3 linked regions of the Bombyx mori genome follow. The protein of the gene in region 3 purifies or fractionates together with the protein of the main gene of each other region. This does not show direct contact. Links are inferred from orthologs where the notes say so. Each region holds a gene or a part of one and is shown on either strand. Other genes may lie near its edges.

Region 1 (11,577 bases), about 1.3 Mb from region 3:
ATAGACTTTTTGCACCACGGTAGGAATTTGTTGTAGCTTCCTACATCTGATACAACTTCAAACATTTGCTCCATTGTGTAGCTGTGAAAATAGATTTATATGAAACTAGATTCCATTTTAAGGTATACAGTAATGGATATAAACAAAAATAAAGATAATGATTTACTGTTAGGCTATTAATCCAGCTATGATTAGTTCATACTAAATATAAAAACGTGTTCGGCACTTAAATTGTACAAATTTTTTGTACATTATTTATAAGGATAAACAAGTAGCCTTATAGATCTCACTAAAAGACAACAGCAATAATCATAAGGAATATAAAAATATTGAGCTACATTATAATATGTCTATCTAAGAGTACATCTCTAAATCCTTTCAATTAATATTAAGCAATTACTAGAGACCTTAAACAACACATGAATACAGCTACTTTGAGACAGTCACAATCATACCACTTTTGGTTTTAATGGTTGTTTAACCTTTTAAATTAGAGAGAAGGATTGCTTTGTGGCAAAATTAGCAATACAATATTCTCTACCACCAGTAATTACCTATGGAAATATTTAGATGTTGAAGAGCAAGACGGGGTGAAGTGGAGACAACTTGTAAAGACCCTATGTACCAGCGGAGTACCCTAGGAGTACAACAACAGTGGGTGTCCCATCTTAAGATCACAGTGACTAAAATTTATCAACAGTTTAATTGTTATTTTTTTTTACTCACCCAACAAGTTGCCTTCCAGTATAAACTCTTGTTTTGTTTGTTATTGGCAGGTTTATAAAACTACGATTTTGTTGTTGAATGCCTTGGCAATGACATAGTGCACTACCTTGTCTATTTACGTAATGACCCTGAAAACTATAGGAAGACAAGAGTTTCCTGAGAAAATATTTAAGATAAAAGAGTTATGCATTATTGTAATCGATGAAAACTCTTGGAAATTCATAAATAATAAGAAATTAAAATAAACAACAAATTCTCAACGTTAGTTACCTGAAAACTACATTTTTCTTGCGAAAAATGTATCGCCCTACGGCACAACTTTGAGAGATAATCATTGTATTAATTCTAATAGTGACTAAAGCATTTATTACTGTTTATACATTTATATTTAGTCATTTTCAAGGGAATAGTTGCACTCACACTGATTGATTTAATACTTTGCAATTTATTTCACGCGTGTAGTCAGTTTTGCTAAATTGTGACGTCACGTCAATAATAATCAGTTGTCACTGCCAAATTTCCTAGTAGTAGTCTACTTTTCCAAGTGGAAGGTAAAAGTATCAAACCATATAGCCTAATCTTAACATTTATTTTATGAAAAATGATAATATTAAATGAAATGAAATGAAGTTGATTGATTTGGAACACTAATCAATTGGCATGAAATTAAATGAAATGATATGGGTTGATATATAATCTCAGTAAAATGGTGGTTATTTACTAAGATTTTTTCAGTAGGCTTTTTGAAGGATCCCGAGAAGCTACGCAAATTAATTTGTACGGTGGCTTACTAACTTAAAAAAACTAAATAGACACATTAAAACAAATAAAAAATGTGTGCGTGTACTAGTGTACACACGTAAGAAGTGAAACTTGTTTATGGCCTTATTTTTCGAAAAATGATCTACATGCAACTTTCTAGAAATTGGTTAAATAAAGTTAAATTAGATAAAGTTTAAACAAAAGGATTTTATTATCATAGACATGAATACAAAAAAGTTAAATTAGATAAAGTTTAAACAAAAGGATTTTATTATCATAGACATGAATACAAAACAGATGGCGCGTAACGGAAAAAAGTGACGCGTAACCGAAAAATGTGACGGTAAATTTTTTTCCAACGCCGATAAGGAAGTTTCACTTCAAAAAGTCTCGGCAATCCAATAGTAGTAGTACCTAGTTCCATTTTTCCAACTAGAAAACCGAAACTATCACACCATACAGCCTAAGCTTTGTAAATAGTGTTATATGAAAAATTATATTATCATGGAGCGAAATAAACTGAAGTTCAGTTATCCAATTAATCAATTGGGATGAAATTAAATGAAACAAGTAAAACAGTGGTCATTTACTGAGATTTTTTGAGAGATCCCGAGACGTTAGGTCCTGGGAGTTTGTTACATTTTCTCACTTTGTGCACTTTCATAGATTCTAATTAGTTAATAAACCACTTTTAATATACGTTTAAACAGGAAGAAACACAAAATTAACAAAAAAAAAGTGAGCAGTCACGGGACGCCTGGCAGACGTGAAACATCGACATTATTTGGTAAAATTAATATGCAGAAATGAACAGATTGTGATAGGAACTAAATATGTCATAATGATAAAATAAAATCTATCGAAAAAATAATTTGTTTTCAAGTAAAACACAGGTTATGGGTACTGTAGTAAACAAAACTGTATACACTACGGAGTATACACTATAGATATCTGAGAGAGATGGCTTAACGCCGGATCGAGTGGGAGAGAATCGCACAGTCGATTGCGCATGGCGACGTGTCGCCACGCCAGAAATCGGTTTTACGTGTGGCTATAGATGTTTCACATCAAAATAAAACAGTTCACACAGCTTTACTCCTCGCGTTCCCATCAAAAAGTCCTACCAATGCGATATTACACAAAAAAACAAATAGATAATTTTTGTTTTGTTCATTGCATAGGCGCCATGGGCAAAAGGGCAATTTTTGATGTAACGATCAAAGTTGTGTAGTTTGAAATGTTAAATAAAACTGACTGAAAATAAAATTAAGAAATCAAAGTAAAAGAAAACATTTACCGTAGAATGAGCAGCAATGTCCTCTGTAGGATTTACCATCCAGGATTTACTATTTAGTCCATTTACAATATATAATGATTGAGTTTTTGACTTTCTGTTGCATGTAGCATTTTAACTATGATACGGGTTGGGATTTTGAGTTCCGGTAACTATTGCTTAATGCCCCATATATTAATATGCATTGATAATTATAAACCATAGAAAGAAATATAACGTGTGACTGTGAATGGATAAGTACCGGTAAAATGGGGCGATTAGGGATTGAGAGGCGAATCGGGAAAAAACCGGGAAAATCTTTCGACGCTCAATATAAGTTTTATATTCGTTTCAAAATCTTCCATTTTTTGTAGTTTAATAGTAGAATGTTGAAAGTTCACAAAACAACTCTGAATATGCATGATAATAGCTGCTAACTTATAAAAAATCGCGTTTCAAATTAACTTCCTGTGGTGGTAATTATTTTAGTGCTAGAAACTTTGCTCTCTTTTATTTATTTGATAATAATAGAAGACGACTATGATTTATAAACGTTATTTAGTGTTTGAACCAGCATATATATTAAAAGTAAGTCTCAGTTGTTATTGGTTTTAATGTATTTGATTAAATAAAAATACATGTAAAAATCTGTTGTTTTTGGGGATATTGGGGACGTCTTAGGTACAAATAACAACGAAAAAGGGGTCAATTGGGATGAGAATACGTGAAATGGAAACTACCTAAGTATAAATAGGTACAGGTTTGTAGGGTTGTCTATGTAGTTATAACAATATTTTTTATATTTGTTGGTAAAAATCTGGTTTATTCGAAGCGAAATTGGGAATAAGTCTTTATTTGAAATAGATAAGCAATTTAATATAAGTAAGTTGATTTTGCAGAGACATGTAACAAGATTAATGAAATCTCAAGGTGGACAAAAATGTCTAAGTAATACTTAATAAAATATTTAATATTTGTTCAGAGTGGGGGTATTCATCTGATTAATCCATGGAATAACCGACACACCTAATCTCTTAACCCAGATAGAAATATCAGCACTGTCGATTGCACCAATAATTGAGGTGATGTCTGCCATGTACTTTTGTCAGTTTTTCAATTTTTTTTATTGATGATCACTTTGTTGGTGCAATTAAATAAATAAATAAATTAAAACTATATATAAAAATAAAAGTAGTGCCAACCCTAGCAAATTTCTCATTTCGTCCCAATTAACCGCAATTTTCGGGTAAATAGGGATTACACCTATTTTTGCATTTTTTGCTTAAACTGGAATGCTAGTTGCATAATTTTAAATTAGACAACAAAAATGCCCCCAAGACTCAATCATTTTGATCCTGATATAGCATTATATACATCAACAACTACCTTAAAATTGCTCATAAAGTTGGAATTTGTCCCTAATCGCCCCATTTTACGGTAATCTGTAAAAATGACACCAACCCATAGATAATAAATTGAATGTATCAAAGTATCAATCAAAATATAACCTACCAGCACGTGTGAACTTTGCAGTGTTTTTCAAGTAGGTACATAATCAAGTTATTAATAATTAATTGAAGTGGAAAATTAGTTGTCGAAAATGGGTAGAAAAGCGAAATTTGATGAGACGAAAAAAGTGAAAAAAGGTCCTGGAAGGAAAGCAAAAAAACAGCCCGATCCAGTATTTAGAAAGGAGCTATGTGAGTATTCCACATAATCGTTTGTTACAAATCAACACAATCTTAATTTCAAGTTTATTACATTTTTAAAAATAACTAAGAAATTGACATTATTATCCACCACCCCGTTATTTTCTGCCAAAAATTCAAATCTACAATTTGTTCTCGAACTACGAACATTTCAAAATTATAGTTAGTTTAAATGATTAGGCAGTTCCCCAATTTTTACCCTAGCACTGCTTTTAGCATTGTGGATTATTTATTCAATAAATACTGACCATTTATAGTCCACATTGTCACACACATGTTGTATATTTGAGTCGTCTATTATCAAAGGTGGCAATCTGTGCATTTGGACAAAAAAATGTTATTGATATGTCAATACAGATTGATTTGAATATAATGGCTGAGCCTTTGCTCGCCCACCTGTCCTGGTGAAACTGGAAAGGCCTTCGGGCCACCAGTAAACTTTCAATCATGAATATAATCGTCTCCTTCAAAGAATACGGTTCAAAACCTGCATTAAATAAAGGTTAATACTTAACCTGTTATTTATCTAAGATGTCGTTCAGAAGAGTTTTCTGACTGCCAATGGAATACAAAGTCAATAATTCGTTTTTCTGATTTACCAATAATTGTCCAAAAGTCACAATGCCGGCTTTGATAATAGTCGACTCATTTATCACATGTCAACCTTTATATTTTCATAATAGTTTTGTTTTCCTATTTTAGTAGAGACTGAAGATCAGGTGAAAAAACTGACTCACAGGCAAAAGCAAAGGGCCGCAAAACGTGCCAAAAAAAAGGCTGAAATAGTTGAAAAAAGAAAAGCTATAAAACAAGGCAAGAAAAATGAAGCTAAAGAAATTGAGACAAATGACGAAGACATTAAAAAACCAGTTGTAAAAGGTAAAGCTGACCAATTAAAAAAAAAAATACATCTTTTTTTGTTTTTGTTTATTGCATAGATGGCTGGACGAGCTCATAGCCCACCTGGTGTTAATTGGTTACCGAAGCCCATAGACATCTACAACGTAAATGCCACCACCCACCTTGAGATATGAGTTCTAAGGTCTCAGTATAGTTACAAAGGCTACACCCCACCCTTCAAAGCATTTCTTCTTCATGGCAGAAATAGGCAGGGTAGTGGTACCTACCTGTGCGGACTCACAAGAGGTCCTACCATCAGTAAAAGTTCTTGGTTTTCTCAAATTCCTGTTTTTGAATGTTTGGTTGCTTGCTTTTTAAACCTCTATGATCTTATTGTGAGTAATGCAAAGGGTACCAGCTAACCTATGTTATTTTCCCATCTTCTATCTCCAGTTGTAGTATTTTTCCTTTAGTACTCCTTTTCTTTATCTTTGTTCTTTATTATTCTATTGTGTTCTATCATAGCTGTCTGAAGATGACTTCCAACTATAATTCGTGTAGTTAATGCACCCAAATGAAGCAATATAAAATGGTTAATGTAATATTCCAGGTTACTCTGATGACAACAAAGAATGGCTGAAACCAAAACAGAAGGTTAAACAACAGAAAAAACAAAAAGATTCAGACAGTGACATTTGTGATCAAGATGAGGGTTCAGAGATGGAGCAGGACTCTGAAGCTGAAAGTGAGCATGAAGAAGAAACAAAAACTGTCAGTGAAAAGTATAAGGTAAAACTAATCTTACAACTTTCTCCTAAATAGTTAATGAGTGCTATACATTGTAATAATACTGGTGGTAGAACCTTTCATGAGTCCGCACGGGTAGGTACCACCACCCTGCCTACTTCTGTTGTGAAGCAGTAATGTGTTTCGGTTTGAAGGATGGGGCAGCCGTTGTAACTATACTTGAGACCTTAGAATTTATATCTCAAGGTGGGTGGCGCATTTACGTCGTAGATGTCAATGGGCTCCAGTAACCACTTAACACCAGGTGGGCTGTGAGCTTGTCCACGCAATAAAATAAAGTAATGGTTTATCACAGAAGATAATTTGATTTGTTAAACACTTGTAGGTGGGAACTCTTGATGATCTATTCAAAGATTCTGATGAAGAGGAGGCGGATCCAAGTTCAGAAGAAGAAGGATCTGTAAATAGTGGCAATGCAGGATATAATTCTGATTCAAGTGAAGAAGAATCTGATGAGGATGGTGATGATGAGGATATGCTGCCTATTGAAAAAGCAAATGTGAAGCTGAAGAAGAAACAAAAGGAGGAAAAGAAATTGGCAGATGAGGAAATGCAATTGAATATATCAAAACAAGATGTTTTTGCTTTCCCTTCAGAAGAAGAGCTACAGAATCCTACCAGCCTTCAAGATGTACAACAAAGGATCAAAGATGTAGTCTCTGTTTTGACAGAATTTAATAGATTAAAAGAGGAAGGGCGTTCAAGATGTGAATACACAGACTTATTACTTAAAGATCTTTGTACCTATTATAGTTATAATGAGTTTTTGATGGAAGTTCTTATGCAAATATTTCCTGTACAAGAATTAGTGGAGTTTTTGGAAGCAAGTGAGATTGCTAGACCTGTGACGATAAGAACTAACAGTCTCAAAACTAGAAGAAGAGATTTAGCCCAGGCATTGATTAATCGAGGAGTCAATTTGGACCCAGTTGGCAAATGGAGCAAGGTTGGCCTTGTTATTTATAGTTCCACAGTACCTATTGGTGCAACGCCTGAGTATTTAGCTGGTCACTATATATTACAAGGTGCATCAAGTTTTTTACCAGTAATGGCATTAGCCCCTCAAGAAAATGAGAGAATATTAGATATGTGTGCTGCTCCAGGTGGGAAAGCGTCACATATAGCTGCTATAATGAAAAATACTGGTGCCTTATTTGCAAATGATGCAAACAAAGAAAGAACAAAAGCAGTTGTGGGAAATTTCCACAGATTGGGTGTAGTCAATGCTGTTATATGCAATTATGATGGTCGACAATTCCCTGAAGTTATTAAAGGGTTTGACAGGGTATTGCTTGACGCACCATGTACTGGTACTGGGGTAATTGCTAAAGATCCCAGTGTAAAGACTACGAAAGACCAGAAGGACATACAAAGGTGTTTTAATTTGCAGAGGCAGCTATTGTTAGCTGCAATTGATTGTTGTAATGCCAAATCAAGTACGGGCGGGTATATTGTGTACTCCACTTGTTCTATTTTACCTGAAGAAAATGAATGGGTTGTAAATTACGCATTGAAGAGACGAAATGTGAAATTGGTTCCCACAGGCCTTGATTTTGGAACTGAAGGTTTTATGAAATACAGGCATCATAGGTTCCATCCATCATTAAAATTGACTAGAAGATTTTATCCTCACACACATAATATGGATGGATTCTTTGTCGCTAAATTAAAGAAATTCTCCAATGTCATTGTAAGTTTTTTATGAAGTACCATCGTAATAATGACCTACTAAATTAACCTGAATTTGTTTTTTACTCTAAATGGTCTTACAGTCCATCTAATATGAATTTACACTGGGGACTTTGCCAATAAGAAATTGATGTCTCAAAAGAAGGGAAAGCTTTCTATTATTTCTTCTAGAAAGAATCAATTTAAAAGAAATGAGATTTTACAATAGTCTTATCAGTATAGTATAATTGGTGACTCAGTAGTAGTTCAAGAAATAGTTCCATTTTACATATTTAGTGAACTTTATTTTTATTTATTTTTAGCCTGAGGCAGTTATAGATGATGATGATAAGGAAACCGAAGGTGCAGATGAAGAAACAGTTGTCACAAACGAAGGAGATCAGTCTACAGATGCCATTTCTAATAATGTAACTTCCAAGGTCAGTGGCCCCCAGAAAAGAACTTTGGAGCCAGAGTCGAATATAGCTGAGCCACAAACAAAGAAAATGAAAGGTGAAAATGCAAAAAGGTAATTTTCAATTAATGTTTTTTTTTTTTATTGCTTAGATGAGTGGACGAGCCTTGATATATCAGTTCTGAGGTCTCAGTATAGTTACAACGGCTGCCCCGCCCTACAAACCGAAACGCATTACTACTTCACGGCAGAAATAGGCAGGGCGGTGGTACCTACCCGCGCGGACTCACAAGAGGTCCTACCACCAGTAATTACGCAAATTCTAATTTTGCGGGTTTGATTTTTATTACACGATGTTATTCCTTCACCGTGGAAGTCAATCGTGAATATTTGTAGAGTACGTATTTCATTAGAAAAATTGGTACCCGGGCTGGGATTCGAACCCCGGTGCATCGCTCAACACGAATGCACCGGACGACTTTATCGTTAAGGTCACGACGACTTCTTGATGTTAAGGGAAGTGTTGTTTTTAAAGCAGTGTTTATTTATTTATTATAAAATTACAAGTCTGGTATACCAATGTTATATCAGAGAATAGTACGAACTGTGTTAACATTGAATCATAGAAACAACTAGAAAACTTTGTTACCTTATTTTCAGTTCCACTGGAAACGCTGCGGTCAATAAGAAAAATAAAAATAAAAATAAGAAGGGACCTCAGTCACAGAACCTAAACAACTCAAATAGTAGAGTTCAGGGTAAAATGGGCAGTGCAGAAAAATTGCAAAACTCAAGAAAGCAGCAAGAACCCTCACTACATGGTCAAGGAAAGCAACATGAAAAGAAAAATAGTAAACTTGGTAAAAACAGAAAAGTAAATGGTCTGACTGAAAATAAAAATAAAAAGGCAAATGAAAACAAACCTAACAGTTCCAATCCAATGAAGACAACAAATAAAAAGCATAGTAAAATTAATAAAAATCACAGTAAAATCAAAAGAAAGGTTTGATAAACGTTTATGTAAGGATAGCATAAAAGAAAGTGAGAATTTATGTGCTATTTGACATATTATATTGGATTGTAATAAAGTTACTGCTATTATAAGTAATGGTTTTTCTTTCTACATGCATAATTATATCAATTTATGACATTTAAATAGGTATTAAACACTTAAAAAAACTGAAATATTACTTCATATGCCTCCACCTAATATTAAATTGATCTAATGGCTATAAATATGGCAAATTTCGTATTAAAATAACAAACCCTGAAAATCTTCGTAAATTTTTAAAAGGCTTAAAATAAATGTATGCCAGTGAATAGTGTAATTAAATGATACTAAAGTTAGTAGCAATTTTAATGCAGCAGCAGTTTTAAGTTCCTTTTGAAGATTGTTTTTATTTCAGATTTTTTGTTATTTGGTTTTATTTTTCTACGACACCATGTTTTTGAGATAAACCATGTCACTGCCACAACTGAGAGGAATCTAAGGAAACTTCGTATTATGTTGAAATCTATCAAAAGGTTTTTATTACAACAGAAGCACGTACATTACGTATCAAACAATTAGACTTACATACATAATAAATAATAATATAATAATAAAGCTTTCTTTATTCCATACAAATTAATTCATAATTAATTACAAGATGTTTCAATACCAGTAAATAAAAATATAACATAATTGACAACATAATTAGAACTTAACATGCAATAAAGAAACATATTCTCTCGTCAGTCTCCTAAACAAAATGAAGCTGTTTTCTAAAGCACGCCACAACGTATTGGGTTACTTTTCACGAACGTCTACGATGAATGAATTTGTGTAATTATTACTTGTGGCGAGACGCAACATACTGTAACGTAAAATTCACGTAGGTAATTAGTTTCCACTATTTGATATATTTTTGGCACTAAGCAGTTTCGCCTGTGGGTTTGTGGGTTCCGGAATGCACTTAGTTGGGTTGTGTGCAAGTAAAATATAGTAAATATTGTTGATTGGGAGTTTGACGTGTTAAACAGTCTTGACAAAATAAACTTGTGCTTTCGACCTATGGAGGGTAGAGGTAAGAAGCATCATCCCATATAGGGGACAAGAAAAGTGTTCACCTGTAAACACTTTATTGTTGTTGAAAACACAAGTTATTGTTGAAAAACTCCGAAATAGCGCTAGTGTAGGAAGCTGTACACATAGTAGTGTGCACATACAAGTGTGCTGGATTGAAGTTAAGTGCGATAGTTTATGACGCTGTTTTTAAAATCTTTCTACTTGTTACTATGGCGCCACCTTAATTGGCTACTTTGAGTGAACACTTTTAATACACGGAGATGGTGCTGATTGCCTCTTTTTTATGATATATATGCTGATAACTTTTAGAGGCTATTTCAGCTTCGTCCTAACATGTAGGTGAGCTCACGGGGCTTAATCCGGAGTGTTGATAACACTGGCCCTAGCAAGAGCAGTGCTTCGCAGAATCTACCACCGTATCGGAAACGCGACTCACTGAGAAGATCCGGCGAGAAACTCACTGGGCCCTTGCCTCTACTCTCCATACTTCGACCTTAAATGTCAAGATTTATAGCGGCATTGACGTTTTGTCTATGGATTCTGTATTTCACAACTTAAATTTGGTCTCCCATCCTTACAGATTTCAAAGTTGATTTTTTATTTTTATTGCTTAGATAGGTGGACGAGCTCACAGCCCACCTGGTGTTAAGTGGTCACAGCCCACCTGGTGTCACAGCCCATAGACATCTACAACGTAAATGCGCCACCCACCTAAGGTCTCAAGTATAGTTACAACGGCTGGCCCACCCTTCAAACCGAAACGCATTACTGCTTCACGGCAGAAATAGCCAGGGTAGTGGAACGTACCCGTGCAGACTCACAAGAGGCCCTACCACCAGTAATTACGAAATTATAATTTTCCGAATTTGATTTTTATTACACGATATTATTCCTTCAATGTGGAACAATTGTTAACTATGTACCTATATCATTATGAAAATTGCTACCCGCCTGCGGGATTCGAACACCGTTGCATCACGAATGCACCGGACGTCATAACTTTTAGGCCACGAGGATCAAATTTCTAAATCATTATATAGTTGTTTCATGACGTCGGAAATTCTTTACAAAAAAAACAAAAATATTTTAACGTTCCACCCATTTCTGCCGCGAAGAAGATTCTAAAGATAGGAACGTTATTCCCAAAGCAAGGTGGGCTTATGGGGTTGGTTCTGTCATGATCGTGAGTTCCACCATTTAATGCTAGATGGACACGTAAAACAATTAAAACAATTGATATTTTCACCTCACGGCTTGAGATGATCTCTGACAATCGTGTGTCCATGGTGTTCCCATTTTAAGCTTTGTA
Region 2 (11,577 bases), on a different chromosome or scaffold from region 3:
TGAACAGTAATTTTTCGAATGGTTATTATTGTGTATGAATTGATGTGAAAATCAATCGCCCTATTACAGGTGTAATTATTGAGAGACTTAATAGAAATCAGTTATTGTATTAAATTTATCTGATTATTATTACGTTCTGTGGCTTTGTCTGTATCACTGTGGCTTTTAATGTATATTTAAAACCTATAATATTTAGGGAGACTTTAGTCGCTTAGTGACATCTACCGACACCCTAGCGACGCTCGCTTAGTCGTCCTGCCATTGCCATAACCCCTGCCAACATCCCAAAACACTATGTAAAGTTACATATTAGCGTCTAATAAAAATAAAAAAAAAATTGACCAATTTTTTTAAATTAGTGTTTTACATTAAACCGATGCATGCTAAATAGTGCTGCCTTCTTATTTACCGATTCTGATCTAATCGAAACTAGTTAATTCTATAACATTTTAATATAAATTATTATCATAGTTATAAACAAAAATCCTATTTTGTGACGATCGCTTATCTATAGTGAAAATAGTTGTAGTGAAAAGAATAGCAATACTAGTTATTACATATAGAAATTATTGTACAAATTTATAATATTATAATGTTTTTAAATATTTTGGACATGTTTATTAATAGGGTTTAATAGAGATGAATTTTCATCAACAAAATAAAGTCGAGAAAAATCAGAAGTAGGTACAGACAGTTTGAAAGATCATCTACATTTCTGCAGGATCCAATACAAGCTACGTATTTGTGTTGCTAAGTCCGACTTTTTTTGTTCAATAGAACTAAGATTCCGTGACAATTCCCTATTTGCATTGACCTCATGACGCTTTTCATGAATACATGATTGGTTTTCGGTAGAAACAGACAGGGCACTAACAATAAATCTGGCGGGCTCTGAACCAATGTCTTACCAGCAGCTGGTAAATTAAATGTAACTTAATCAAGTTGGGGAATTGACAATTTACTTTTGAGAAAAAGAAACTACGAAGTTGTCTGTATGTACCTTCATAACCTTAATCTGTGAACTCTATGAACCTCTATGAACCGCTAAGACCGGTAGACTAATTACGCGATTCCATTTTTATTATGAGTTATGTTATAGTTTATTATGACTGTCCAAAAGATTTGAAAACACGGGTTTGTAGTAAGTAGCTAAACATTAGAAGCTTCCATTAATAAACTTTATTATAATTAGAATTTGATGTAGATAAGTAGGTACGCTTAACGACGAATTATGTAGGTTATAAACTGATTTACAGTATTACAAATTTTACCTTCTCCTTCTAAATGTTGATTGTGAAGATTTTTAATTCTTCGTTAGTGTCTAGTCAAATTCCATAGAAACAAATGTAATTAAAGCAATAGAAAAAATACAGACTTTTATTTTATTAAATGTGTATGGTTGGCCAAACAAGGTAATTTTGGAGGTGCTGTCTTTGTTAGATTATAATTAAATTTAGTTACATGCCAGTAAAGTAATGTAGATGACAGATTGAATTACGGATTTACGGCTCAAGACCGATAGTTGAAGTTGTGTAGAGTGCGGGCTCCAGTATTGGCCTAAAACTAAGTCGGATAGTCTTCGAAACTGTCTAGAGAAATAAAAACAATATCCTGACTCTTTCTATATTAATGAATTTCATACCAAACTAGCTTTTGTCCGCGACTTCGTCCGCGTGGAATAGTTACTTTGCCACAACGCTAAAATTCGATGCCTCCAATGAACACTACTCTAACTGAAAATTTTGAAATTTTCGTTTTTCACGCAAATCGCTTCACTATTTTAAAAGTATTACAATTAATCATTATTGATGGGGTTCGAAGCAAGAGTAAATCAGCTAGTTACACAAAAAAACCATAAATATATCTGCAATAATAAAGATTTTATCGACTTTTTTCGTTTAAACGCTCCTCCTGTAAATCTATGAATTTAGAGTTAGCGTAGTGTTCATTGGAGGCATCGAAATTTTACCTGCGACTTCATTTACGTAGAAAGAAAAAAACGATTTAGAAACATTCTTTATTGGTATTCCGTTTGTATTGGTCTTAGCGTATAGCCTATAGCCTTCCTCAATAAATGGGCTATCTGACACTGAAATAATTTATCAAATCGGACTAGTAGTTCCTGAGATTAGCGCGTTCAAACAAACAAACAAACTCTTCAGCTTTATAATATTAGTATAGTAGATACCTCGAAATTGGCTTTTTTTTAATTTCTTTTATTGCTAAGTTGGATGGATGGACTCACGGCCCACCCGGTGTTAAGTGGTCACCGGAGCTCATAGACATTACGCATGTAAATGCGGTCACCCACCTTGGACATGTATTCGAAGTCTCAATTTTTAAGTACAACGGCTACCCTACCTTCCAAACCAAGGTAGGATGGTGATACCTACCCGTGCGGGCTTACAAGACGGCCTCACACCAGTAATTACACAAACTGGTTTCATTTTTATTACACGATGATATTCCTTCATCGTGAAGCATTCATGAACATTTGTTAGGTTAGTACGTAACTATTTCATCAGAAAAATTTGTACATGCCTGCGGGACTCGAACACTGGCATAGTCGCATCACTCAGTGCAGAACAGTGCTTCGCAGAACCTACCGCCGGATCGGAAACGCGACCCGGAAACGACCCGCGACGCGAAAAGATCCGACGAGAAACTCTGTGACTTGTGTCTGTGGGTTAATTTACTCGCCTAGCCCTGCGCCGCAAGCGACAGTTTCGACGAGAATCACTCGATACGAGAGTATTGGAGACACCTTGTTCTTTTAGGCCACGACGACTTCACTCTTGTTACGTTCAAAACCAAACATATTTTTCGATTTAAAACAATGAACGCCTCATTTTTAAGGGTTTTATTAATAGTTAAGGAAAACAAAAAAACAAGTGTCAGTATTTTAGTTTTTATTAGTAATACATTCTGTAAGGCTTATATCATAGTTCTATCTCCTTTTCCGTCCAGTAGATTTCTTATTTGGTGCCCTTTTTCCCTTTCCTGCTTTAGGTTTCTTGGCTGAGAAATTTGTTGCATTGCCTTTACCTTGAGTTTTACGTTTTCCTAAGCCGGGTTTCATATTTTTCTTTTCGTGTGATCTCCTAATGATAATACAAACAATAGAAATCAGCTCATTTACTTCGAAGTAATAAAATAAAAACTTTAAAAAAAAAATTCTGATTATATCATTTTCAAATTTACAATAAAATAAAAATAATTTACTTACTTGACTTCCTCTTCATTTATACTTTTCGCTACAGCTTTATCCATATCAATTTTTGGCCTCTTACTCAGTATATTATCAAGTAGATTCAGGTTGTATTCTTTTTCTGCTGCCGGTGTTGGTATAGGTGCTTTACGTTTCCTCTCCTTGCCTGGGATTAGCTCATGTACACCTTTACCGCGTGCTTCTTTCTCTTTGGGTAATTTATCTTGGAATTTTCCAAGAGAAGCCGTTGATGCTTTTGCTACACTTGCTGCTGTGGATAACTGGAAAATTATGAAAAATAATTGTAGATTTATGCATTCATATATTTATAAAATCATTTAAATTATTATCTTTAAACAATAATGTAATGGATAAGCAAAACAAGATGAATGTAATAGTTTAGCAATAAAATTGCAACAGTTAAAAAGTTGTAGTATATCTAATTCTAACTTAATTACAAACAGCAAATGCTGCTTGGCTGTAAGAAAGATCAGGTATGCTACTTTGAGATCATCTAGAATAGAAAAAGGAAAATTGTCCTTTCATTGAATTAGACATGTATTTATTAAAGTATACTATTATCATTGTATAAGATGTCTAATTTGAAACTGAAAAAGGAAAAATTATAATTCAGTACAATATATATTTTTCTACTTGATCCTACCTGTGTGGCAGAAGCTTTATCTGAAGTGACAGGAAGCCCCACCCTTGGTATTTTAACCTTTTTGGCTCTAGCGAGATTCTTAAGTCTCTGTAATTCATTCTTTGCAACCTTTTCTGATTTTTCACCGGCTTTCTTTTCATACATATCTGTCATAGGATCTAAATTCTGTGGGACTTCTATAAGCCAGTTCTTCTCTTTTTCAGCTGCAGTTTTCTTGAAACTGATGATACAGAATTATATAGTCAATTATAGATATAGTTGATTGCCGACAATAATAAACGGACAATGTGTTTTACAACATCCTGGCTATTGGTTTGACTATAAAATACAGATTTTAAAATGATGATATCAATTTTTAATTTCTGCCTAAAAACTTTTGTAAATAAGGTTTTTATGGTTTGTGTTTATAGTTTTCTAGACAACTTTCATTATTCTACTATTGAAAACTCACCCATATAAAGGAACCCATTTCTGCAGCTGTTCATCCCATTGAAGTTTGTCTTTCTTTTTCTTATTAATACCCTTGGCTTTTGCGAACTCTTGCCATTTAGTTAATGGCTTAGGTACAGGCACTGGCTTGGCTCGGGGTAGGATTGTCGTAGGTTGTGGCAATCGAACTACTATGGCCTCTTCGATTCTTTCAGTGGGAAGCTCCCATACTTTATTCAGTAGTAGCTGAGCATTGTCACGGGTCAATGCAAGTAAATATGAATCTTTGTTTGTCCTAAACAACACATAAAATCAATTTAATTTGATAACAAAACATGTGCTGTTAACTAAATTTATGTTTAATCCTGAAATTAATAGTGACTATGCGTTTGCTAAAATGAGATAAGATGAAGACTTACTTCAGCGTTTTTATGTCCAAATCGTTTGTGTCAGAGGCCAATAGTGAACCTAGGTCGAATTCTAATTCCAAATGTTTTTCGACCGTTATTGGTTTATATTTATCTGCTTTCTTTTGTTCCCTTTCTAATATCTCATTTACAATATCCATTGTTATCAGAACACTTCCTTTTTACACATTAGAATTAACAAGCTTATTTGACTTGAGCTAATATTTTCCTTGCTTTACTTTTGTTGAAAAATAACCTCAAAATGTATTTTTTTTTTACAATTTAATTACATATATTTATGATTTCGTAGTTTTCTGGGCAACCACGTTTTGAACTCTGGCATAGATAATAAATATTTAACACATGTCATCATATTGGTAGCTTATTGTAGTAGATAATCTATGCACGTAGAATAATTATTTTAGAATTTTTATGTACATACATATATATTGAAACGATGGAACTCAAGTTCATTTTTATTTTATAATCTATAAATATTTATGTATTCAGTTCTATTACCGCGCATCACTGTACTGTACAGTAACTAAAAGGTGTAGGGGCTTCGTTCCCTTTGTATCACCAGCGAGTTAATAAATGAAGATTATGGAGCATGTCCAAACAGGAACAGGTATAGTGATATAAAGTATAAACGAAATGTATTATGCATAGCCCTCTACCAAGGTTTAATGATAGATAAGACATAAACATAAACGTTACATAGTAACTTTTTAATAATCTGTAACTCTGCCTCAACACTCGCGTATGACGTCGCACTGTGAAGAAACACCATGATCTGCGCCAGAACTGTGTCCCTCCACACTCACAAAGCTTCACAGCTCAGCCTTGTTCGCGATTATGATCGACGACGACGTGATTTCTGCTGCTGCTGTGTATTCTACATACACTTCACTTTCTTTCTATACAATCTATAGCTCGACTTAAGTGATTCTTTATTTTTCTTTAACTCTGACTCAGTTACAGGTGTATTTAAGATAGCACTTATGCGTGTCCAGGCATCATGAACCTTATTCTCATTTTTGTGGTCTTGATGTTTCGGCTTAGGTTTATGGCAATAAATGAGAGTCAGTTCCAGATCATTATTCCACCATTTATATTAGGATCAATCACCAACGCACGCATAACCACTCTACGATGTCCTGTACGCTACTGCGGTAAGCTGCGAGTGTGGATACATTCACGTTCGCGTGCCGCAAACCCTTTGTCGCGGGCCATAAAACCGACACAGATCGGGGAGCGACGCGCGAACGAGAAGGCGTGAACAACATCTACACTCGTGAATTCGCAGTTGTCGCGTTCGCGCCGCGAGTGTAGAGCCGACTTGACGCAGAGTAGGAAGGAATACCGTACTATAGCCATATTAGCCATGGAGTTAATAAGTTCAACTCTAGCTCTATGATTGTAGCCATAGATTATACACTTAAATTGTAGCGTAACTAGCGTAGCATTATAAACTCTAAAAAAAGAAAAATATCGCTTAACTGACATTTTCAATTAAAATAAATGTTTTAATTATTCTAATGCTCGTAGGATTTGTTAACTTAAGATTAAGTAAGATTAACTTGTTAAATTAAAGATTAAACACTTAATATTTGAGTTTAGTTTATTATTGTGTACAAAAAGCAATAAATACATTACCTAAATAAACTGAATTTCAATGTCAAGAACTAAAACTAACCCAAATGGTGGACATAAACAAATATTTAGAAATGCAACTTGAATTAGCGAAAAAGCAAATTGAGAGGAAAAATAGTCAGAAAGAAGATGTATCAACTAAAAGCAAATCTGCTGCTGATTACATATCGCAAAAACAGGCAAAGACTCTGTCAAAATTTCCCCACAATCAAAAAGTAGATGTAAAAACTACTGTGACATCAGGGACTTCAACTGAAGGACACCTCGATGACATCGATTTTGTACCTTCCGATGAGGAAGACGACAGTATCCATAATTTTCCGCTTACTGCGTGTTCTTCTCGTACCAAACAGAATATAAACCGAATTGTTGACGACGGTGATATTAAACAATACAATTTAAGGGTAGAGGTTTGGCGTGAAGGATTAAATACTGTGAAAAGCGGTACATATGAAGGATGCACGTTAACCGCTGACATACAGTACATCCTGGATGGTAATAAAGATAGCGATGAAATGCATGAACTCCAGAATGGTCTATTAGTACCAAAATATATTTGGAAACAGTTATATAAATTTCAAAGAACTGGTGTTAAATGGCTTTGGGAGTTGCATCAAGTGGATTCTGGTGGATTGTTAGGTGATGAAATGGGACTTGGTAAAACAATACAAGTCATTGCATTCCTAACTGCCCTTTCAAAAACCAATTTAGGATCATGGGGTGGTCTTGGTCCGAGTATCATTATCACACCTGCAACAGTTATATATCAATGGGTATCTCATTTTCATTATTGGTGCCCCCTGCTCAGAGTAGCTGTACTGCATCACACTGGCTCTCATGCTGGTAATCACCATAAACTATTAAGGGATATACACAGTGCTCATGGAATCTTGTTAGTAACATATGCAGGCATAGTAAAGTATCATAAAGAACTTAATGCTTATAGTTGGCATTATTTAATTTTGGATGAAGGACACAAAATACGTAATCCTGATACACAAGTAAGTAAAATTGTAAAAAAAATCCAGACACCACACAGATTGTTAATAACAGGCTCACCAATGCAGAACAGTTTGCAGGAACTGTGGTCATTATTTGATTTTATGAGGCCAGGTTTGTTGGGGACATACAATGCATTCATAGAACACTTTGCAGTTCCAATCACTCAAGGAGGCTATGCTAATGCTACTGAAATACAGGAAGCTACTGCCATGGAAATAGCTATTGCTTTGAAAAATATGATCACTCCTTACATGCTGAGGAGAACTAAGGCTGAGGTACAAGGACATATCAAACTCCCAGAAAAGAATGAACAAGTTCTATTCTGTTCTTTAACACAAGAGCAAAGAGATCTTTATATGGGTTACCTTATGAGTAATACAGTGAGAAGCATCTTAGACAAAGAAAATAAATTTGGAAATCCATTAAGAGCGAGGCTACTAGTGGCTCTGTCAACGCTAAGGAAAATATGCAATCATCCTGATATTTATCTCTACGAAGCTCAAGAAGATGAAGAACAGATAGATGAAGAGATATTTGGCCATTGGAAGAGATCTGGAAAAATGACTGTTGTTAATTCATTACTTAAAATATGGAAAAAACAGGGACATAGAGCTCTCATATTCTCTCAGTCAAGAGTAATGCTGTGTCTGTTAGAACAGTATTTACAAAATCAAGGCTTTACATACCTCAAAATGGATGGTACAGTTAATGTTGGCCAAAGGCAAAACTTGATTAAAACTTTTAATGATAACACTGATTATTTAGTTTTTCTTTCCACAACTAGAGTAGGTGGCTTAGGTGTAAATTTAACTGGAGCCGACAGAGTGATAATATATGATCCTGATTGGAATCCTGCAACAGATGATCAAGCAAAGGAAAGAGCATGGAGGATAGGCCAGTCTAGAAATGTAACAGTTTATAGATTGTTGTCAGCTGGGACTATAGAGGAAAAGATTTATCAGAGGCAGATATTCAAACATTTCTTGAGTAATAAAATTTTTGTGGACCCAAATCAAAAGAATTTTTTAACCACCAGTACATTACAGGGACTGTTCACTCTTGAAGAGCTTAACCGTGAAGGAGATACTGAAACTGCATCAATTTTTAAACATACCAAAATTATCAATAAAACCAATAAGAATGATAATGACTTGGATATTTCATCTAAAACAAAGTTAGAAGCCATGAAAAGATTAGCAAAAGAAATAAGTAAAAAAATATCAAAAGAATCCATGAAGGGAACACAGGAAAGTGATCCACGTGAAGAATATAAAAAGAAAAGAGAACAATTATTATGTCCACCTAAAGTGGAAGAACCAGATATTAATTTAGTTGATGATAAAATAACCAATGTAGCTTTTGAAGATGTTTTGTCAGAATTAGATATTGTAAAAATGCATGCAAAGAAAGATTATGAAGAACAATTGTTGAAAAGTGTACTAGAAGATAATGAACAAGATATTAAAGAAGTAGATGAAGAGAAACCTACCAACATTGACAACTCTCAACTTGAAACTAATGAAAGTACTGTAAAAGATATTAAACAAAAGCATAAAAAATCACATAAAATAAAGCGCAAAAGAAGATTATCATCTTCCATTGATGATGGACTCAAAAATTTAGTAACTGTAAAGAAAGTAAAGAAAAAGGATTATAGTAAAAATGAAGTAAAGAAACAAACTAATGATGATGACTATGTGTTAAACAAACTTTTTGCTAAAGCAGCAGTGAAAAACGCGTTACAACATGATGTGGTAGTTGGTTTAGCTGAAAGAGAAAAAAAACATAGATTGAAAGAAGAAGCTGCTAAAAGAGCTCGCAATGCGGTTAGAGCTGTTAAATTTTCATCAAAATAATGTAATAAAAATGATTACATCTGTGATATTTCAATATTTTACCGCCTAAGTAAAATAGTAATTTATAAGATTAATAAATTTAATTGATATAATAAATAAACTGTAATTTCATTCATTGCCTTGTTAAATGAATTTGTAGTATTCTAAAGTGTCATTGTTGAAGCCACTTTGATACTATAATTTAAAATTTGGAAATCCAGTTTTTTTTTCGTGTAAGCAATGTCTATGATATTATATTGAAAATATAGTAAAAACTGTATTTTTAGTGTTAGTCAGTTTTTTATGGTGGGGATTGATGGGAACCCTGTTATGGAAGATGTGTTTGTAACAAAAATTCTATGAATGATGTTTTTTAAGTAATTTTTTTTATGAAAATAAACCAATTGGATGAGTAATCAATTAGATTTCAATCTAGTAAGGTCACAAAGCTCTTGATTTACTAGGTTATCTTTTAATACAGTTAATTCATAGACCTATATAGTAGGGACACGACATATTGTTCTATACGTACAATTGCTTATATAAATAGCACCCATTTTGAAGGCACATACATAAACATATATCTATCTCGTTCTTACTCAGCACTTTAACTCGCAGGAAAACAATATAACAGTATTTCAGTGCGTACATAAAATGAAACATGAATATACGTAAATATCTCCGTCTCCGTCTAATGAGGCCGAAAATCCGCCATGTTTAGCGCGCCAAATGTCATTGTCACGTCAGTTCGGCCGTCTGTTTTGGGTTGTACATTATTTATTGACTTTGATATCGATTTAATATGATTGATTATATAAAATTTCATAATTTATTATGCTTAAAACATACAAAAATAATAATTAAAACGTATTTTATAGGATCTCAAGAAAGTCGATGCCCTAAAACTATTATTTATATGTATTTAAATTCATTATGGAGCCCTCATCCGAAAAATCCATTTTTCGGTCGGAATCTATTGATCATGACACTAATCATAAATACCACTTTAAAATATGTCATCAAAACATATTTAGACATTCTGTTTAGATATTTCGGGAAAAAGGCTACCGACAAAATCTCTTCGGAACTATTTAAATAAAATAGTTTTATTCCGCAGTGAGTAAAACACTATTGTAAATTTGTTAAATATTTAATAATTAAGTGATTTTAGAGAGGAAGTCACAAGGAATGACGTTTGTAATTAATGAATAAATGTTCTGTAAGTGTTTTTTTTTCACGCGGTCCCTTGATAAGTTTAAAATTTGAATCACTCTCAAGCGAAAGTGATTCAAATGGTGCGGCGCACCTTCCTTGGGGTGCGCTGTGGTAGTATGTTACGGACTTTAGAGTCAGCAAAACAATTAAAATAGATTGTAATAGTCTAAGAAAAACACGTACTCAAAATACGATAACATTTAGCATGCTAGAAATGGGCTGATGGCTTTGAACTACGCCATATCTTTATGTTTTGCGACAAACGACAACTTTATAAAATCAGTGTAGCAACTTTTAAAAATCATCATATCGTTTACTTGGCAAATTCGAAGGACGAACTTGTCTTAGATTTCACCCATCTAAATCATATCATATTTGCACATAACAATATACCTACTTACTTCCCATTAAAGTATAAATTCTACAAATAAATAATACTCAACAATATTTAAAATAAAATGAGCCAAGAACGTTTATCGATAAAACCTGATAACATTGAAATCTTTTGTACAGCACTAAAGCCGCTATGTTTTGTGGCCAGATGACGTCACACTGGCACGAAATTTTGGTTGACGTTTCATTTCCATAGGTTTCCTACTTCATTGAGTTAATTACACTTTTGCAAAAAACGGTACCTTCTAATTGACTATCATGAAAAACTTGATATCGGTATGTTCATGTATTCATGTTTTCTTTTTTAGTTATAGTAACGCGATTAATAGTAGTTATAGTAGTTTTAAGGATATGTTTTGCATTGGGTATTTAATGTTATTTCTGCTTGGAACATCTAATAACGAGGCACATTTACCATGTGTTAAAGTGTGGCAAAAAAAATAAAATTGCTGGCTTTTTGGGCTCTTTTGAGATATCCATTACTAATTAGTCTCAATAATCTTCTAATATTTTACTGTGAGAAAATTTCATTTAATATGATCTAAAAGGGGGTTGTCTTAAATCACATCATTTCCTTTCATTTGTATGGCTTCAAATTTTTAATCCAAAATTCAACGTATGATCTCCATTTCCTTTGCCTGACCAATGGACAAATCAAACAAAAAAAGAAGTGGTTTTGGTACATAACTTGTAAAAAATAAATTAAAATACAAAAAGATATCCTTCATCGAGAAGTTAATCGTTTTCATGTAACTATTATTGCATATATTA
Region 3 (10,543 bases):
TATAGGAAGTAAAATAATAGTCTTTATAACTTATAATTTCAATTAATTATAGTCGAAATTCGACTACCGGGGCACCCCTAGTTAGTATAGATATGCTAATATTATTAAGATATTTTGTTGATATGTAGTAAAGTGGTCGGGATTGGGCGGCAGAGGGCACGGAACGGTCGGTAGCGCGTCGGCGGCGAGCGGCCTTGGCCGTGATCGTGCGCTCGATATAGCGCTGCCGACCCTCCGTTTGCCTCCATATAACACCCCCTCAAGGCCTCCAAACTCATCCCATGTTACAATTTCTGTTCTTCTTCGCTCTCTTCCATTTTTAAGAAAAACTTTTAATAAAGACCGTGAAAATTAATTTCCAAAGTAAAACAGAACAGAGCCTATTTACCGGTGAATAACTATTCAATGTTGTAGTTTAAAACCAGAACTAAACATGTCAGCAAATAATTTCAATATATTTATTAATAATTTTCCACAGAATATCGGTAAAGGTCATGACTGGGAAGTAACGAGAAATTATTTAACCGTCTGCTGGCGGGAAGGTTATTTTGTTTTATTGTGCACACTAAAACAATGGGTATAAAATTATATTTGTTGATACGAATCAATCCTTCGCAAAATCACTAAAGAACATTAGTAGGCAGACGGCGTAGTTGGAACGAATCAGAATTAGACACCAAGGCCACAAAACGAAATGATATCATTTATATAGCATGTCTGTCCCTGAACTCGCCGCCGAATGACGCACGTGGATTCGAATATCAACCCTGACCTTAGTAGTAAAAATAATCTCTGTAATGCTAGCTAATGGGTCTAGCCACCCTGATACAATTACCAAGGGTCAACATAAATCAATCTACATTAAATTGACATAATTCATCCAGCACTAAAGTAAATTGATAACACCCTATATGTATTAAAGAGGGTGTAGAGAAATGTTCCCAAAAACGATAGGTAACAGGTAATAGGTGTTGGTGAATGAAAATCGATAGCTAAAAATAATTGTTAAATAGTTTAAAATTTTATGCAATACATAATGAGCGTTACGTCCTTTACATTGGGTCCAGAAATTAGATTGGGCACGTAAATGATCATTCTATTTACGTTAAGGTGTGTGTTACTGCTACCGTTTCGGCCTTCGAGATTAGTTTCGAGGTTCAGAATAAAAAATCAATTAAATAATAATAAATTTATAAAAGAAACTTTTATTTCTGTTTTAACAACACAAGTGATCACTTTGCTTTTCCTTTCTTTTTGGGGACTTTTTTAGGCTTGTTTTGTTTCTTGGGTTGTTTTTTACCTCGACCTTTTGTTTTCTCCTTTGCCTTTTGGGCACGTAAGTCCTTTTTCATGCGCGGATCTACCACTTTGTACTGGCCCTTAACGCCCTGTGGTCTCTTCATACGCTTAGCAGTTGTATGTTTCTTGGCCACCACATAAGTGATTTTCTTTTTACCATCAGATTGTGCCTTCTTGTAAAGTTGTCTCACTTGTTGTGCTTTCTCTCGCTCGGACATATCAGCGTTCTCCATTACCGCCTCGACTTTTTTCTTTGCACGTTCCATCTTTTTGATCAAGCGCTTCTTCTTCCGCGCTTTGGCTTCAATCACCTTCTTGATAGGCCTCACATTGATGTCTTGTAATCTATTCTTGTATTCATCAGTATACTTCTGTAATAAAATAAAATGATGAATTTTAATGTACATGTTTGTCATCATGTTTTGATATACATATTTACTTGCACAAATTATTTAAGTATATCCATTATTGCTCACCTCCGGTATCACAATGTCTTTCTTCATATGTTTCTTTTCATCTTCCATAAACCAATCTGGTAAGTTTTTATCGTTAAACGCGTATCTATTCCACGCGTCATCAATTAAATCCCTCTTGAATTTTTTTGATGTAGCTATCATGGTTCCTAAAGCAAGTGTCTCTGCGTCCATTTTCAAAGTTTTCTTTAGTTTTTTCAGTTCTGTAAATAAATTTGAAGCTGATTGAACACAATTTTAACAGACAATTCAGTATCCTCGTTTATTTGATGAGAATTTTCTTTATGCAATTTAAAAAATCTTGCTTAGCTTACCTGGATCTTGGGAGACAACTTCAAAACCTTCTTTGCCGGCTTTTGGCCCAGCACTAGAAGCACTGGGAGTAACGTTTTCTTCAACATCATAATCACTGTCAGAGGAATCATCATCTGAACTCTCGTTGTCTGACAATTTTCTTTTTAGTGCACTGGTTTGTTTACTTGACTCCACATCTTCAATGACTTTCTTCCCTATGTAAAATCACACACTTAACTCAGATTAACTCTCAAAACATATTTTTCTTGTCTACAAAGGGCTTTCGGAAAAGAAAAGACGCTATTCAATCACTTAAAAATTGTTTGTATTTAGAACACGACATTGAGAGATTACTGGTGGTAGGACCTCTTGTGAGTCCTGTGTGTGTGTGAGGGTAGTTACCACCACCCCGCTTATTTCGGCCGTGAAGCAGTAATGCATTTCGGTTTGAAGGGTGGGGCAGCCGTTGTAACTATATTGAGACCATAGAACTCATATCTCAAGGTGGGTGGCAGCATTTACGTTATAGATGTCTATGGATTCCGTTAACCACTTAACACCAGGCGGGCTATGAGCTCGGCCAGCCATATATGCAACAAAAAAATGGTGAAAGGCCATTTGATTTAAGCGACATTTCGCTTAATACGCTATATTTATTTTGTAAATAAACGTGGGTTTTATTTGGTATTAGCATCAACAATACGATGTTTTTAATTGAACTTCAATTCAGTTTACTTCACTCAAATAGCTAAAGAAGTTGTTTTATTTTATTATATTTTTCCTAAATTTTAAACTTTAAATGGCTCTCCTATAAAGATGCAAAAATATCGCTTAAACCCAAGAGCCTTTCACCCTTCCATTTGCTCATTATATCACCGTAAGTCTTGAGAGCTCTGAAAGCCTGTCCATTACTCTCTACTGCTGCCTCTATAGATAAGCATGTAAAATAATAAAAGGCACAAAAAAAATAAATTAACTCTTCAGTAATGACTATTGACACCGGTCATACTCGGCACTCTGAATATTTTATTTAGTCTATAAGTCACAGCAGTTATGTCATAAATAGTCTATCTGTAAATAGCTTTTACACTGACCTTTTTCCTTGAATGTTTCTGTTAACTTGTCCAAATCTATACCTTCATCAGCTTCTTCATCAATATTTTTAAAAGAATCTTTCTCGAACCATAGCTGAGCTTTCATAGTCCTTTTCGAAACTGGGTCAGTGTTGTCCAGATCAGTGAGCAACGGGTTATTCTTTGGAATAGACTGTAATCTATTCAATTTGTTTGCTGGACTCACTTTACTGTTTTTTAGAGTATTCAATTTAGTTAATTTTTTGATCTTTTTCGATTCAGTGTCTGAGTCTGAGAAGGCTGTAAAAATGTAATAAGTAAATGAATAGTTCTTAGATATGAAACTGGGTTCAAAGAATGTTACAATGATAATAGTTTGTCTGAGTTTTCTTTGGAGGATAGAGGTATGGCATATCCCCGGTACCTCCAACTTTTTTTGTTAATTTACCTTTACACATCTGTAGTAGATTTCATAATACATTTTTTAGAATACTACCGATAATACCAGTAGTACAACGCCGAATAAGAATACTATTTAGACATCGATTCCAAACCACCACCAAATAAAATTCTAAAGTAAAAATTAAAGTATCTTCTTTGTCTCCATCTTATCTCACTAGGTGGGGTCGGCACAACGAATTTTTCTATTCCATTCTCTTGTATCAGCCGTCATATCAACACTCACTTCTCTCTCTCTCCCATATCGTCATTCACACGGTCGGCCTCTTCCCCCTCTACCCTGCACTACCAAACATCTCCTAGTAACGTGCATCTCCTCTGTACGCACCACATGTCCATACCACGCTAATCGTAAAAATAAAAGTCTAAATAAATAAACAAAGATATCTGTAATAAAATTATGGCACAGTGTTAAAAATAATTTACCTAATGACTCTTTTTCCTGTTCAGATTCTGAATCAGATTCCATTTCAATTTCACTGTCTGAATCTTTGTAATAAAGTCCTGATGAATCGAGCTTGGTTTCCTCAACATCGTATTTCAAGTACTTTGGCTTAAGTTGAATCTCATCATCAAAAGCATCATCTCCATCAACCACGGTGTCAGGCTGCTGATCTATAAGCGTGTTCAGTTCCTAGACAATAAAAAAATTCATATAATATATTTTTAATAGGTTGTGAATTGTTAACTACATCATTTTCATAAGTACAGAAGGCATGTTGCAGCTTAACGCTCTTTTATATGAATCGTGGAATTCCTCGAAATTGCACGCAGCGTTACGCTCCCCGACAACTGAAGCAGTTTATCTGTATTTCTTCTTTCCTACGTTGTTATACGAACGTTTTTCATACATTTGTTGATGCTATTCTAAGTATAAATGTATATAATATGATTTACTTAGTGAAAAATATTATTATTTTATTTTATACTATTTTAAATTTTTATCTTGAGTGATAAAAAATCTGAAAATGAAGCAACAAGAAAAAGCATTTAACAAGAAACGAAAATGCAAATGAGGGTGAACGTAAATCTCAAATTGTTGCTGCATTAAATTTGGAATTTTTCTTAAGACTGAAAATTAAAAATACAGAACAGACTGAATGATCTGAAATTTAAACATATTGAGTTAGAATTTCATTAATTATATGCTATTTTTTATTGCTTTTGATGGGTGGATGAGCCCACATGGTGTTAAGTGTTTACCGGAGACCACAGACATCTACAACTAAATAGCGCCACCTACTTTTAACAGTCTTACGTCTCACTTTTAACAGTACAACGGCTGCCCCGCCCTTTAAACCGAAACGAATTACTGCTTTACGGCAGAAATAGGCAGGGTCGTGATTTTCACTGGTGGTAGGACTTCTTGGGCGTCCGCACGGGTAGGTACCACCACCCCGCCTATTTTCGCCGTGAAGCAGCAATGCGTTTCGGTTCGAAGGGTGGGGTAGCCGTTGTAACTATACTTGAGACCTTAGAACTGTATCTCGCGGTGGGTGGCGCATTTACGTTGTAGATGTCTATGGGCTCCAGTAACTTAACACCAGGTGGGCTGTGAGCTAGTCCACGGATCTAAGAAAAAAAAAAAAAAAAATCTACCCATGCGGACTCACAAGAGATCCTACCACCAGTATATGTATATTATACTCATTTATTATATTTCTATTATAGTAAGAAATAAATGTTTGTTTTACTGTTATACAAATATTATTAATGAATAATATAATATTATTTAATAAAATAATTAATAATTTTAACGGTTAAATACCTGACCAATTCTGTACAATTTTCCCCTAACCCCATTATTTCTATGATGAGATAGTCTCGTTTAACAGTTTTGTATTACACTAAACTTTGATGGAACTTACACCCTGCATTAAGCAGGGTCTTACTATAGATACTTGTTTGTTAGTGAGACATTTAATTTACATTACTACAATTTTTTTGTTAAATGTTAACACTTAATAACTTATACACTTGATGAGATGCACCAAATTGGTTCTGAATTTAACATGTAGTTATAGTAAGTAGTTAAAAAAACATACCTCTGCATTCTTGATATCAGAGAGTTGAAACATATCATTACTTTCCAAAATAGGACCATCATCTCCTTTCAATACCATCTTAAGATTCATTTTTTCAGCTAGTTTTTGTCTCTGTTTATTCAACTGCTTCCTTTTACGTTTCAATTGTCGCTTCTCTTCATCCTGGAATATTTTATTAAATTTGGACTATTATTTTACCCCTGTTCATAATAATAAGTGACAATGGAAAATGCTTTTGTCTTTTATTTTAATGTGGTATTAATTTACTTTTTAAATCAACAAAAGATTCCTTAGCAAAAGTCACAGATCATACATAGTATAGTATAAACAGTCCCAATCTAGTACCTGCAGTTCTGCAATTTGTGTGTCCACATCACCTTCTTCAGTATCAGCATCCTCATTTGTTTCATGTTCTTCGTTTTCATCATTGGTTTGGGGCTCATCATCTTTTTTCTCCTAAAATAAGTTTTAGTTTTTAATCTTTAGTGCTTTCAATACTCTATTGCTAGCTCTTAAATTACCTAGTGTTAAGTGGTTAAAGTAGTTTATCAAACACCACAATGTATACGGCCACATCCACTTTGGGACATTTGTTTATTGTCATAGTATATATTCAACAAGCTACATTTGTATTACTCAATACTTTGGAAGTTGTTCGTAGATGTTAACTGCTTTTGTAGACAGAATACCATAAGCATATAACCATACCTTGGGAACAGGCAAGTTGCTTCTTACTGTATTCATTTAGAAGGTACACCTTAACTACATTTTACAAACTTTGTATAGTATAGTATGTATATACTTGATAAAATACTACAAACTACAAACATAATTAGAACCTACAAATATTCCCAATAACAAGCATCCCTCTTTGAGTTCACTCCCAAAGCTAACTTCCTAGATGAGCAGGGATAGTGTTAATAAAATCTCTCCACCTACAGACAAAATAAAACTACAGGGGACTTGAGGACATTGATTTGCAAAGAGCTGCTCCTTTACTATACACCATAGACATATTACTTGATTTGAGTGTACATTCAATGATGTACTAATTTAAGATGCAAATGAAAAACAGTTTCTTATTCATAATCAAATCCTCGTGACAGAGTTTTTTACCCACCAAAATACAAATGTCTGAGAGGTATCCCCATGTAATAAGTATAATAAGCCTCTGTAAGCAAAAATTTAATTTGTGATTATATCCTATAAAATTCTAACCTTAGACGATTTATATTCTTTCATTTGCTTGAACCATGACAGCAGTGATTTTAAGTCTTTTCGTCCAAGCACCTTAATATCCTTACAACATTCCTTTATTTCTGGTGTTGTCTTTGGATGAGTTTCTATTTCCTTATCATCGAAAACAATCTGCAACATTATTGAAAGTAGTTATGTAATTATTTAAAAAAACATAGTAAAACAATTAAATGGCAATAATCAAATTTTCATTTTACCTCAGAGCAACCATGAAGTAGATCTACTGGATCATCTTTTCCCAAAAAATCAGACAGTTTTACTTTATGATGTGTGGTATAATCATTTTCTTTATATCCTTCTGCTTTTGCTTTTTTTTGTTTCTCAGGATGTAATATATTTATATGCTGTTTTTTAACTATATCAAGATCTTCAAAGACATGTTTGGGGTCGAGAAATTTAGGATCAATTGTATCTGGTGCAATATAGCCCTGACATACAACGAAAATTTCAGAAGACTCATTACGAGAAGCTTGGGGCTTTGTAGCATGTACTTTTTTGAAGAATTGTTTCAGAACCCATAAAAGTGCATGATAGTCTTTCGATCTGAATACTTTAGTCACAAACCAACCACCTTCTCTGAGGAAGTTCGTTGCAAGTTTTAAAGCACTCAACGTTAGACAAGCTTGTTGATAGGCATCATGGATCCAATTAAGACCGACATTGGGTGCACCGTCATTAAGTACCACATCAGCTTTCCATGTTTTTATTTCTTTTTTGATTGCTGCCTTACATTTTTCTGTAGTGATATCTTCAGTCAGACCTATACAACCTGGAACTGGTTTTATTGGAAACAAATCGACTCCTATTACTATGCTCGAGACTGGCATATTTTGGTGGGCCACCTGCATCCACCCACCAGGTGCAGCACATAAATCGATACATACTCGTGATTTCTGCAAAAATCCAAATTTCCTGTTCAATTGTATTAATTTGAATGCAGCTCTTGATCTATATCCTGAAAGAAGTATACATTTTTCGATATAAATATACGTTCTAATAAATATATATACACCTACATCGCCGCCCTATATCTGAACTAATCAGTAGATGTACATATTAAAAGTATTTCGGTTTAATCAGATGAATTATCAAAGTAATTAGATGTTATAAATGATGCAAATTAAAAATGATGTACCTGTTTCTTTAGCTAGTTGGTAGTATTTATCTTTCCGTTGTTTTCCTACTTTTGTTTTCTTTCCCATTGTAGTATGTTACTTTTTTAAGCATATGACTTCTGGGGTTATTTCTAAAAACAATTGATTATAATCAATTACATGACAAAATTGAATGCAATATGCACATTACGAGTGTGTGTACAAGTGAGGTTATGTTTATTTTCTCGTGTTTCATACCATAGAGTTTTTTTTTTCAATTATGTGCTGCACGAACATACAATCATTCAAGTCATTAAGTTAAAATCGGCTTTTTTTACATTTGATGTACCTGAAGAAAATTTTATGGATTGTTCAACTAATTGTAATAATGCAAGTAGCTGGGTCTGCGGAGGGACTTCGGTTCCCTCTGTATTTTATACCGTATGTTCCATGGGGAGTGCTCTGAGGAATTGTTTGAGATGATACCAGCATCTCGTTTTTACCATCGCACCGCCCGCCACCGGAGTAGAGTTCATCCATACTACCTGGAGCCGCTGCGGTCATCCACAGTGCGTTTCCAGAGATCTTTTTTGCCACGTACCATCCGGCTATGGAATGAGCTCCCCTCCACGGTGTTTCCCGAGCGCTATGACATGTCCTTCTTCAAACGAGGCTTGTGGAGAGTATTAAGCGGTAGGCAGCGACTTGGCTCTGCCCCTTGCATTGCTGAAGTCCATGGGCGACGGTAACCACTCACCATCAGGTGGGCCGTATGCCCGTCTGCCTACAAAGGCAATAAAAAAAAATAAAAAAAAAAGTAGCGTAGAGAGCATACCAAAAAATATTTATAGATGGTCGACCGCAGGTGAATGAAGTTAGCCCCTCAAAAAAAATTTTTTTTCCTATTTTATACTTATTTTCTATTAATTCGTTTGTTCATCATTTGTTCATGATTGTTCACTGTTAATAATTTTTTGTTCTGCATTTATTTATTTAAAAAAAATATTTAAAAATATACCTACAAGTTAGCCCCTCTAATGCAATTTTTAATATTTTTTCATCCTTAATGACTCGTAAATATTCATTTTCGATTGTTCTTATATAAAACACGTTTGTTCTCTTTCGAAATTACTCGTTTTTTGTTTAATTTACTATTTTTATTAGTTGAATAAATGTATGCAAAATATGTGTACTGCGCATGTGTCAACTATAATGCCTAAACTTTCTACGCGGTTTTAATCGTGAAAAAAAAAACAAATATAAATCCTGAAGGAGCAATTAATTGGTATACAATTTAATTAAAAAAATTAAAAAATAAATAAATGAAATAATGTGCATTGGCGTTAAGTTAGACCAAATAAATTTTTTCCATCCTCCTACTTATCGTTATGAAGGTATAAAAAAGATAGGGAGTTCACATAGGTAATATAAACAAATAAGTAAATATGTTCATTATTTATCTTTCAAGAGATAATATAGGTATACATTATAATAACTTTTTTACACAGTCGAAATTATATTCCTAACATTAGTAAAATAACATTTTAATACGATAGGTAAGAGGATGGAAAAAATGTATTTGGTCTAACTTAACGCCAATGCACATTATTTCATTGCTCCTTTAGGATTTATATTTGTTTTTTTTTTTTCACGATTAAAACCGCGTAGAAAGTTTAGGCATTATAGTTGACGCATGCGCAGTACACATATTTTGCACACATTTATTCAACTAATAAAAATAGTAAATTAAACAAAAAACGAGTAATTTCGAAAGAGAACAAACGTGTTTTATATAAGAACAATCGAAAATGAATATTTATGAGTCATTAAGGATGAAAAAATATTAAAAATTGCATTAGAGGGGCTAACTTGTAGGTATATTCTTATATCTACTGGTGGTAGGACCTCTTGTGAGTCCGCGCGGGTGGGTACCACCACCCTGCCTATTTCTGCCGTGAAGCAGTAATGCGTTTCGGTTTGAAGGGTGGGGCAGCCGTCGTTACTATACTTGAGACCTTAGAACTTGTATCTCAAGGTGGGTGGCGCATTTACGTTGTGGATGTCTATGGGCTCCAGTAACCACTTAACATCAGGTGGGCTGTGAGCTCGTCCACCCATCTAAGCAATAAAAAAAAAAAAAAAAAAAAAAAAAATATTTTTAAATATTTTTTTTAAATAAATAAATGCAGAACAAAAAATTATTAACAGTGAACAATCATGAACAAATGATGAACAAACGAATTAATAGAAAATAAGTATAAAATAGGAAAAAAAAAATTTTTTGAGGGGCTAACTTCATTCTCCTGTCGACCGCAGTGATCTCGAACGACATAGAGCTAAATCGGTAGAGCTGCCAGCTAAAATCGGTATATTTGTATCCAAAATCGGTATTTGACAAAAAAGTACCATATTCAATCAAATTCGTTTATTTATTTAACAAAAAAATTACAGACTAATTTATAACAATCATACTTAAGTATAATTATTTTTTATACCAATATTCTTTAACCATAGCGGCAGTCATATTCGAATTAATTTCAAAATCATAA

Evidence for each region.
Region 1: the proteins of pre-rRNA 2'-O-ribose RNA methyltransferase FTSJ3 (region 3) and uncharacterized protein LOC101741314 fractionate together in Homo sapiens (co-fractionation; 3 studies listed by BioGRID and IntAct, with this or other methods). This does not show direct contact. The link is inferred for Bombyx mori from reciprocal best matches to the Homo sapiens genes FTSJ3 and NOP2.
Region 2: the proteins of pre-rRNA 2'-O-ribose RNA methyltransferase FTSJ3 (region 3) and ribosome biogenesis regulatory protein homolog purify together in Homo sapiens (affinity purification with mass spectrometry; 3 studies listed by BioGRID and IntAct, counting the BioPlex papers as one, with this or other methods). This does not show direct contact. The link is inferred for Bombyx mori from reciprocal best matches to the Homo sapiens genes FTSJ3 and RRS1.

Annotation. Positions count from the first base shown.
Region 1 is NC_085116.1:6,475,112-6,486,688, forward strand, and holds uncharacterized protein LOC101741314, read left to right. Parts: upstream 1-4,205; 5' UTR 4,206-4,361; coding exon 4,362-4,461; intron 4,462-5,172; coding exon 5,173-5,349; intron 5,350-5,920; coding exon 5,921-6,099; intron 6,100-6,442; coding exon 6,443-7,807; intron 7,808-8,108; coding exon 8,109-8,314; intron 8,315-8,860; coding exon 8,861-9,209; 3' UTR 9,210-9,304; downstream 9,305-11,577. Other genes in the region: coenzyme Q-binding protein COQ10 homolog A, mitochondrial, read right to left, coding at 1-81, 727-882, 997-1,061. UniProt on the Homo sapiens protein: S-adenosyl-L-methionine-dependent methyltransferase that specifically methylates the C(5) position of cytosine 4447 in 28S rRNA. Required for efficient rRNA processing and 60S ribosomal subunit biogenesis.
Region 2 is NC_085123.1:3,054,011-3,065,587, reverse strand, and holds ribosome biogenesis regulatory protein homolog, read right to left. Parts: upstream 5,274-11,577; 5' UTR 4,870-5,273; coding exon 4,721-4,869; intron 4,597-4,720; coding exon 4,324-4,596; intron 4,093-4,323; coding exon 3,873-4,092; intron 3,490-3,872; coding exon 3,227-3,489; intron 3,102-3,226; coding exon 2,948-3,101; 3' UTR 2,895-2,947; downstream 1-2,894. Other genes in the region: DNA excision repair protein ERCC-6, read left to right, coding at 6,409-9,219. UniProt on the Homo sapiens protein: Involved in ribosomal large subunit assembly. May regulate the localization of the 5S RNP/5S ribonucleoprotein particle to the nucleolus.
Region 3 is NC_085116.1:7,756,528-7,767,070, reverse strand, and holds pre-rRNA 2'-O-ribose RNA methyltransferase FTSJ3, read right to left. Parts: upstream 8,808-10,543; 5' UTR 8,103-8,807; coding exon 8,036-8,102; intron 7,856-8,035; coding exon 7,098-7,855; intron 7,012-7,097; coding exon 6,862-7,011; intron 6,100-6,861; coding exon 5,989-6,099; intron 5,806-5,988; coding exon 5,644-5,805; intron 4,233-5,643; coding exon 4,025-4,232; intron 3,440-4,024; coding exon 3,161-3,439; intron 2,282-3,160; coding exon 2,087-2,281; intron 1,976-2,086; coding exon 1,776-1,975; intron 1,671-1,775; coding exon 1,233-1,670; 3' UTR 1,175-1,232; downstream 1-1,174.